Nothobranchius furzeri: one gene and its partner. The protein of the gene in region 2 purifies or fractionates together with the protein of the main gene of each other region. This does not show direct contact. Links are inferred from orthologs where the notes say so. Each region holds a gene or a part of one and is shown on either strand. Other genes may lie near its edges. The genes, in order: rasa1a and pdgfrb.

Region 1 (3,814 bases), on a different chromosome or scaffold from region 2:
GGAAGAGCATGCTAGGCCTCCGCAGGGCTGCACTCCAGGGGGGAGGTGAACTGGATGGGGAGACGAGAGGAGAGCAGTACTACCTGTTGCTGTTGGACATGGCATACTGAGCCTGCTTCTGCTGGAGGAGCTCGGTGATGGCCAGCAGCTTTTTCAACACATGCTGAAGAAAAAAACAAGAGTACGATGACTTCTAGAGCAAGCTTTGAACTCTTGGAGCTGTGATCGTCAGTCTCTGACCTGCTGTGCGCCCCTCTCATTGCTCAGGATGCGAAGTTCAGCTGAGTGTGCGACACAGATCTCGTGCAGCGCGGCCAGGTCCCGCGGCAGGTCGGCCCTAAAGCTCTCTATGGTGTCCGGCAGCTCTGGGACATTCTACAAACGTGACAGTTTTTTATTGTCTGCTTGTGAAGAGAGGGCCTCAGTCTCTCAAAGATACTATACCAACCATTAAAGTTTTAAACAAATCAGATATTCAGCTTAAAGGTTTGATCCAAAAAGTAAGAAATGAAACTCACCCCTAACTCATCCAAGAACATGATCATCCGATGTTTGTTATTTTTTATGAAAGGGTTCACACCCTCCATGTAGGGCTCCTGTCAATAAAAATAAATCAGTAATTAGCTAAATACTTTTGCATTTTGTGAAAGTTTAAATGGGATGAGCTCATACCTTAGCACCAAACTCAACCAGGTTGGCCAGGTTCTGGACAGACTTGGCCACCAGTGTGAGGGTCCTACCTGCTGTTGAAGATGGAGGGTCTGGAGGGGAGGAGCAAGAGTCCATAAAAACTGATTTCCATATTGCAGTAAAAACATATTCGGGATGTTTTTTTAGCACACACTTACCAGCTATGATGTTGAACATTCGGGGGTTGAGGATGGCAGGGCAGATCAGTCTTAAAAAGACAAAACCACTAGAAAAATACAGATGAGGTGGAAGTTAGTCAGCAAAAACAGCCTTTACCCATCAAAGTATTCAGATTGTTTAGAGACGCTGGTTTACCTTACAACTCTCGTCCTCATGGTGGTGTTATTGGGCCACTTCCTTTTGACAGACATCTGCAGGCACCCGTAGATATACCTCAATGTCCTGTGTGACACACACACACACACACACACACACACACACACACACACACACACACACACACACACACACACACACACACACACACACACACACACACACACAAAATCAGCCGAACTCTTTGGGTCTAATGATGAAGCAGTAAAACCATTTTTTAAAGAGCAAGTCACCCCCTACCAGGGTATTACTCCACTCCCATTTCCTGTTTGAAAAATGCAACAAATGCTGTTGCCTAGCAGACCAAAGGGGCGGAGCCACTAACAAACACACACACATGCTCACAATGACATTGTGACATCATATGGTACCAGCTAACATTCTAAGGTACCTCTTAGGCCCTGTCCACACGTAGCCGGGGATCTGCCAAAACGCAGATATTTTTCTACGTTTTGGCCTGTCATCCACACGAAAACGGAGTTTTTTCACACGAAAACGGATCTTTTTAAAAACTCCGGCCAAAGTGAAGATCTGCGTTTTCTCCGTTTTGGGTGTCTGCGTGTGGACAGACAAAACCGGAGTGTTAAGGTCCGCAACGTCACTTTCCGCGACAAAAAAATGCTGACATCACGTGTGCAACCTGTGTTTACACTAGCCGACATCATGGAAGCCCTCAAACCTGCGCTCTGTCACTACCCGATCCATCAATTGTCCAAGCGCTTTCTGCTTGTTTGTTTTTACAAGCGGAATTACTGCTCCTTGCGGAAGACCACAGACGAAGGACGAGGTTAAGAACGGGGGAAGTACTGCCGCCTACAGGTCTGGCATGTCCTTAACAACGTATTTATCCGGGTACGTGTGGACAGAGTTTGTTTTTAAAACGCGGTGGTGTGGATGCAAGTTTTTGGAGGGGCGGATATTCGTTTTTAAAAAACCCCGGCTACGTGTGGACTAGGCCTTAGCCAATAGCGATGGCAGATTTTATATCAAATGCAGTGCAGAGTTTTTACCGGACAACGACAAAACACTGACAGTTTTAGGCAGAAAATTGAAATGTGTACTAAAATGCACTAAAGTGCAAAACTATTGACTACACGAGTCTGCAGCACAATCAGATACGGATTTATATAGTTTATCAGAAAAAATAAAAGTTGATTTGAGGGTGACTTGCTCTTTAGGTGTTAGGAGCTTACGATGGTAAGATTTCAGCAGCCATGAAGATCTTCTCCACTAGCTCAGACAAAATGTTTAGAAGATGGGTCAAGTTCATGTTCACGTCCTCGTTCTTCTCCAGTTTGGAAGGGTTCAACTGCAAAGGAAGGGAGGGACACATGAAAGAGGACATTTGGACAGATAATTATTTCTATGTGCTGAATGAAGGCTACATGCAGGTTTATTCATTTACCTCGCACGACTGTTTGCTTTCCATAATCTTCAGGATGGTGTCTTTGAGTGCGTGATGGACAAAGGGAGTGGCGGTGGCCTTCATGTACTGCTCCATGAGCGTGCTGGCCAGCGTGGTAGCTCTGAACAGTGTTGTGGCTTCATCTGGGAGGATGCGCGTTACCAAGTCAAACTCAAGTTAAGCTGTTTTAAAATGACCTCACATCAAATCACGCCGTCTGCGTCTCACCCTCCATGCTGATTTCTCTGTCGTTGAGTCTCATTAATAAGGATGCTTCAGCCTTCTCATGTCTAAAGATGCGCAGGAGGAGGCTCGCCAGTAACGTCCTGTCCTGACCACACACGTGGGCCAAAGCATAGATTACATGGAAATCTTTCTGCAAAATCATCTGTAGAGGACATAAAGAGACCGTTTTGATTCAACAGCCATGCTTGCAGCCAAAAAGTTGCAATCAGAACCACTTCTCAGCAGGCCTGACCTCCTTGAATTCACTGTACTCTTCTTCAGGCATGATCTTCTCCATGGAGTATCGGGAGCGTATACGCAAGGTGCCGGGCTCGATGCCCTTCAGAGGAACGTGGGAGCTCAAAGAGTACCACTCATCATTCATCTGACCCTTATTCAAACTGTTTAGCTGGCACCGCATAAACACTGAGAGGAGACAAAGAGGAGGACAACAAGGAAAAGATCAAAATGGGACTGTAGAGTTGAAGGTTATTACTTTCTCTAATTTATGATCACTTACAAATATCATTTTCTTTGCTCTTTTTTGATTTGTTGCTCAGACTGATTTCAAATCGGTTAATTTCACTGGACAGGTCACTGAAAACACAAAAAAGGCATGTTGGAATTTTGCTAACACAATCGTGAAACGAAAGGAGACGAACGAGCACCGACTCACTCAAAGATGAACTCTTCAGTGAAGACAGGATTCTGCCCTTCTCTCGGGTGTGTTTTAGCAACCTGGATGCTGTTCAGGAAGATGTTACAGTAGGGGTTGGTGAAATACTTCATAGGCAGCTTGTGGGCCTCCTCCACATACAGCACCAGACTGCTCACCTGAGAGGAAACGCACACAAAATGAATGTTATTCGCCATAATTACAACTTCGCTGTTTTGCTCCCGACACCTGACAAATCTGGATCAATCTCTATCTGCCTCAGGATACATGCATTTTTGACTTAGCTGACAAAGAAAGCTCTGAAACTTAAAGAGTGTCAGTTATCTACGAGCTTGGCTTCCTACTTTTTACCCTCTAGATTTATGATGTCCTCGATGCCCTTACTAGATCATCACATTTGCAGATGACACTACTATAGCAGGGATCATCAATGGGAGGCCTGGATAGTGCAGAGGAGCCAAATTAATCCTCAATGCCACCCA
Region 2 (4,383 bases):
TTTTAGCTTTAGCCTGCAGTGTGGGGACAATTTGCTGGTCCACACAGTGCTAAGCATCCTAAAACTTGGTTTTGGAGGTATGGAGTGAATAAAGATTTAGTTTAGGTTAGGGTTAGGAATACAACGCCATTGGTTAAGGCTAGGATATGGGTTAGGTCTTCCTGTTCCTCCTGCAGGTGAGGGGTGTTGGATGTAACGGGCTTGGTGCTGCTGGCACACGGGGTCCAGCCCTGGACCTGGCACCTCCTACGGCACTCTGTCTCACACTTCATCTGATGGCAGCAGGCCTTTGGGTCGGCCTGCGTTCTAGCACCCAGCCGCCGGCCTTTTGCCCATGGCCTGACCCAGACACATGGGCTGTCCACATCCACCCATGGACCCACCACCTGCAGGAGGAACATGAAAGGCCCAGTGCAATGTGGAGCCTTTGGCGGTCCAATCACTAGAATCAAATGAGTGAAAATAATTCCGTAACCTCACATTTTCTACATTTAAGGAATTAGAAAAGAACAAAGAACAGCACGGGTAAATGTGTGAGACATTAGCCGTGGGGTTTAATAAGTGTAGGCTGAATTACAAAGCAGCTTAATCTCATCAAAATAATAAAATTATAACTCAATCTTATTCTATTGTCAAACTGCTTCAACGTGTTGTGAAAGCATCGTGGATGTTCTGCACTGTGGGCCTGAGGAGAACAGAGCTGGTCTAAAAGTATAATGAGCACAACACAGAACACATTTAAATAACGCTCAGTAAAAACATTCTCTTGGTTCTTTTCTAAACCTTCTCTCTGAGTAAAAAATGAAATGTTTATCTGTCTTTTCAAAGTCCAACACTAAAGATACATTTATGCCTAAATAGGAGAAAAAGGGACGCTAAAACAGACATTTCCTCAAAGATTTGTGCAGCAGGACTGGCTGCAACTTCCTGCCTAAAGATGAGATGCAGCTGCCTGACAGCTTTACTCCAGTGTGTGTGTGTGTGTGTGTGTGTGTGTGTGTGTGTGTGTGTGTGTGTGTGTGTGTGTGTGCAGTATGGCATGCTTTACTCCTGCACTTCTGAGTGCTCTTCATTACAGCTAATCGACTCATGAATAGTGTAATCAACCCTAAAGACCAACGACTAAAGGACATTTATTATCTACTCAGCTGAAAAACATGAACGATGAACGAGTCACATGATAACTGACCAGCAGGATATGAGTCAGAGAATAAAACACTTTTCAACCTGTGCATCGATGATCTGCTGTAAACTGATGACTAAAGTTGGTGTTTAACCAGAAAGCGAGCAGCATGACACCAGTTGTGATCTTGTTGCTCAGCAGCTGCACGTTCGGCTCGTGGGACAGAGAATAAATCACAGGAGGACAGATTGGGATCAGCGTGTTTCACAACTCAAACTGCGACATGTCGGCTCTGTGGAGCACGTGCTGGCGTGTTCTGTATTGGGTCTTAATGCGAAGCACATTTTCTCACTGTGGCTGGCATGCAAGCGAGCCCAAAAAGCCAGGAAACAGCTGATGAGTAAGGATTAGGTCCGGGCCAGGGGGAACGGAGCCGACCGGGCTGCTCAACATCAGGGCCGGGCCGAGGAGCATACCAGCAGCCTGACGCACGGCCAGGAAACCCCCCACAGCCAAGGAAAGATATATAACCCTGTTACGTTAAGAAAAACCTTGTTTAAAAATGTGTCAGAGCGGAGCAGTGCTTTTAAACGTGACGCTAAGCTGATGGTAGAAGGATGATATGAATGCAGTTTTCCAGACGTTCATCTGCTGAAACTGCAACAGCATCTGGATGATGGATGCCCAATAAAACCAGACCAACAGTCCAGATACCGCAGCTGCTCATTACTCCGCCTTTCAGGTGCAAACCATGTGTCGGATTAGATGGAAAAGACATTCACCAAACACATATCTTAGCCATGAAACGGCTCACATGACGCCAGCGTAACTCAGTCCAGGCTGTAAAATCTTGTTTCTGTCATGAAGGGAAGAACGATGATTCAACACAATGTTTACTGACCCAGTCACCGGTTCCCAGAAGATCTAAAGAAGAGCTGGGCTCGTTTTAGCCTTATTATCACTATAAAGGAATCTATTTGTGGCTAAAGAGGATGCAGGTGACGGCTCCGGGCTGATGCTCCTCTGGAGAAGATTGATCCTGACAGGCCCTTTCACAGGGAAGATCTTTGGTTCAAGTAGGGTGACTGAAGAGCGTCGGCATAAACGAGCTCTTTAGCAGCAAAGCGCAAAGTGGCATGCATACAAACAAGCTATGTGTGTGTGTGTTTGTCTGAGACAACCTGTCAAACATCTCTGAGCGAGAAGACAAACACGGTTGAAGCTGTAGGGTGTGAAGTGGTGTCAGGGATGTGAGCCGCTGCTGTGTTGATGTTTGAACAGGTTGTTCGCTGTTTGTGTGTACACATTCAAACATGCGGGTACCAAAGAACCCAGCGGACACACACACACACACACACTCGTGGGGACATGGAGAGTAAAAAAACCTGTCTGATTTGTTTAAATTTAAATAAAACTCACGAAATTCAGGGTCCAGTTTTAACTAAACCCAGAACGGTTGTGGGTTTGGCCTCAGCGTGCAAACTGGATCAACTTTTCCAACATTGTGAAACAAATTCTCACCTCTGGCAGCAGCGACAAAACAGCCGTGACCATCAGAAACAAGTTCAAGATTAACACCTCCATACCTTCACAACGATCCTGCAGGCACAGACGAGTCTTCCCTCTCCAAGAAGGTAAAGAAGATAAAAATCTGAGTGGAGGTCTCCAGCTGCAGCCTCCACAGGCTCTGCTGCATCATATGTACCACTCTCTCAGATGTTCAGTCTGAGGTTTATCTGTGCTGGTCCCAGGAGTCCGTTGGGAGGAGGTACCGCTCTGAGCCCGGCCGTTTGTTTAGTCAAATCACAGCGCTGTGGGGGTCTCTCTCTCTCTCTCTCCCTCAGCTCTCTGTCTCTCTCACACTCACAAAACAAGCCTACCGGCACTCAGAAAGAGTGGTGTAAGTTTAAAAGAGGCATGCGGACACACACTCCTTCTCTGGCAGGCTCACACAGAGCAAAGAGTCAGCGGTTTGACCTAGCTGAATCTGAGAGAGAGAGAGAGGGGAGGGATGGAAGAAGAGAGGAGGAGAAGGGGGTGTTAGAGAACAGAGGAGCAAAAAGCAACACAAGCAGGTCTCATGAAAATGAGTGAAGAGGCAGACGATCAGAACTTCAAAAACACGGATCAGGTTCTGCGTGTTGCTCTTGTAGGCTGCAGCTCAGAGGTCCCGGGCCGCAGCCATTTGTTTATGAATGGAGAGGAGAGCCGCTGGAGGTGAGCTGAGACAGTCTCTACTGGCAACAGCAATCTGGACTGCTTCTATTCCTTCCACAAAAACAACAAACACAATGAAAAGAAAGAGAGTGGGAGGTTCAGGCAGCAAAGAAAAAAAAATAAAATGAAAGGTTTGGCAGAGCTCACGGTGCCCAGGAAACAAACATGGAAGTCTCAGTTTCTCAGGAGAGTAACCCCACAGAGGTGTAAAAGTTACCGTATGAAGCCTCCTTTTCTATCATATTTCCCTTCTTCTTTCATCTCCACCACATGCAACAACTCACCTCCCTCTTCTGTCTCCTTCTCTTGTTCAAAGCTGTGTATGAAGAAAACTTCTCCTGAATATTGGCTCTCTTCCTAATGCCATCGTTTCCCAGGACAGGAGGGGACAAACCCGCTGCTGATCAAGGCCTTTTCTTCCTCTAACAAGCAGGCAGAGCGAGGGGGGAGGAGGGAACAGAGCCTAAATTGGACAGTTACATGTTCTCCTCTAATTGTGAGGATAAATCTGAAAGCCTCGTTAGCAGTAATTAGAGAGCTGGTGCAGTGCTGGTTATTAAATAAGAGGGGAGCAACACCACACAGGATAGGCCCGCCCCATGCCCGTCTAATTTTACCAACGTTATCAACACGTCCTGATTAATCTGGTCTGAATCCACCAGTTAGATGCAGCAGAAGAAATAAACGTTATTATCCGCTGAAACATCCTGCTGTTAGACAAAGAGACACCAAAACAGGATGTGGACACTTAGGAGACTTTTGCATTTGATTAACATGTACATCTTTAGCATGTTGTCACCATGGAGTGTGACGGAGAATCCACAAAGAGGGGTTTCTACTGCTCTATGTTTGGCAGCAGTGCTGAGGAGAGCTCCTAACAAACCGGACTCCCAAATATTCAGCCACAACAATGCAGAGTCTATCTGAGCTGGTTAGGAGTGTTCCTCTCACTGCGGGTCTGATTTGATGCTGTAAACAGAATTCCACCAGAGGAACCAGCTCATGTCTTGCTGTAGGTTTGTTTTTTCTTCTTGGTTTCAGAT

The links.
Region 1: the proteins of pdgfrb (region 2) and rasa1a purify together in Homo sapiens (co-immunoprecipitation; 5 studies listed by BioGRID and IntAct, with this or other methods). This does not show direct contact. The link is inferred for Nothobranchius furzeri from reciprocal best matches to the Homo sapiens genes PDGFRB and RASA1.

Annotation. Positions count from the first base shown.
Region 1 is NC_091757.1:43,329,714-43,333,527, forward strand, and holds part of rasa1a (ras GTPase-activating protein 1), read right to left. Parts: intron 3,491-3,814; coding exon 3,333-3,490; intron 3,254-3,332; coding exon 3,177-3,253; intron 3,083-3,176; coding exon 2,910-3,082; intron 2,820-2,909; coding exon 2,660-2,819; intron 2,575-2,659; coding exon 2,432-2,574; intron 2,336-2,431; coding exon 2,220-2,335; intron 1,093-2,219; coding exon 1,006-1,092; intron 917-1,005; coding exon 849-916; intron 762-848; coding exon 673-761; intron 597-672; coding exon 519-596; intron 376-518; coding exon 241-375; intron 164-240; coding exon 84-163; coding exon of another isoform or gene 80-83; exon of another isoform or gene 1-79. UniProt on the Homo sapiens protein: Inhibitory regulator of the Ras-cyclic AMP pathway. Stimulates the GTPase of normal but not oncogenic Ras p21; this stimulation may be further increased in the presence of NCK1.
Region 2 is NC_091741.1:96,117,347-96,121,729, forward strand, and holds the start of pdgfrb (platelet-derived growth factor receptor beta), read right to left. Parts: upstream 2,905-4,383; 5' UTR 2,710-2,904; intron 1-2,709. UniProt on the Homo sapiens protein: Tyrosine-protein kinase that acts as a cell-surface receptor for homodimeric PDGFB and PDGFD and for heterodimers formed by PDGFA and PDGFB, and plays an essential role in the regulation of embryonic development, cell proliferation, survival, differentiation, chemotaxis and migration.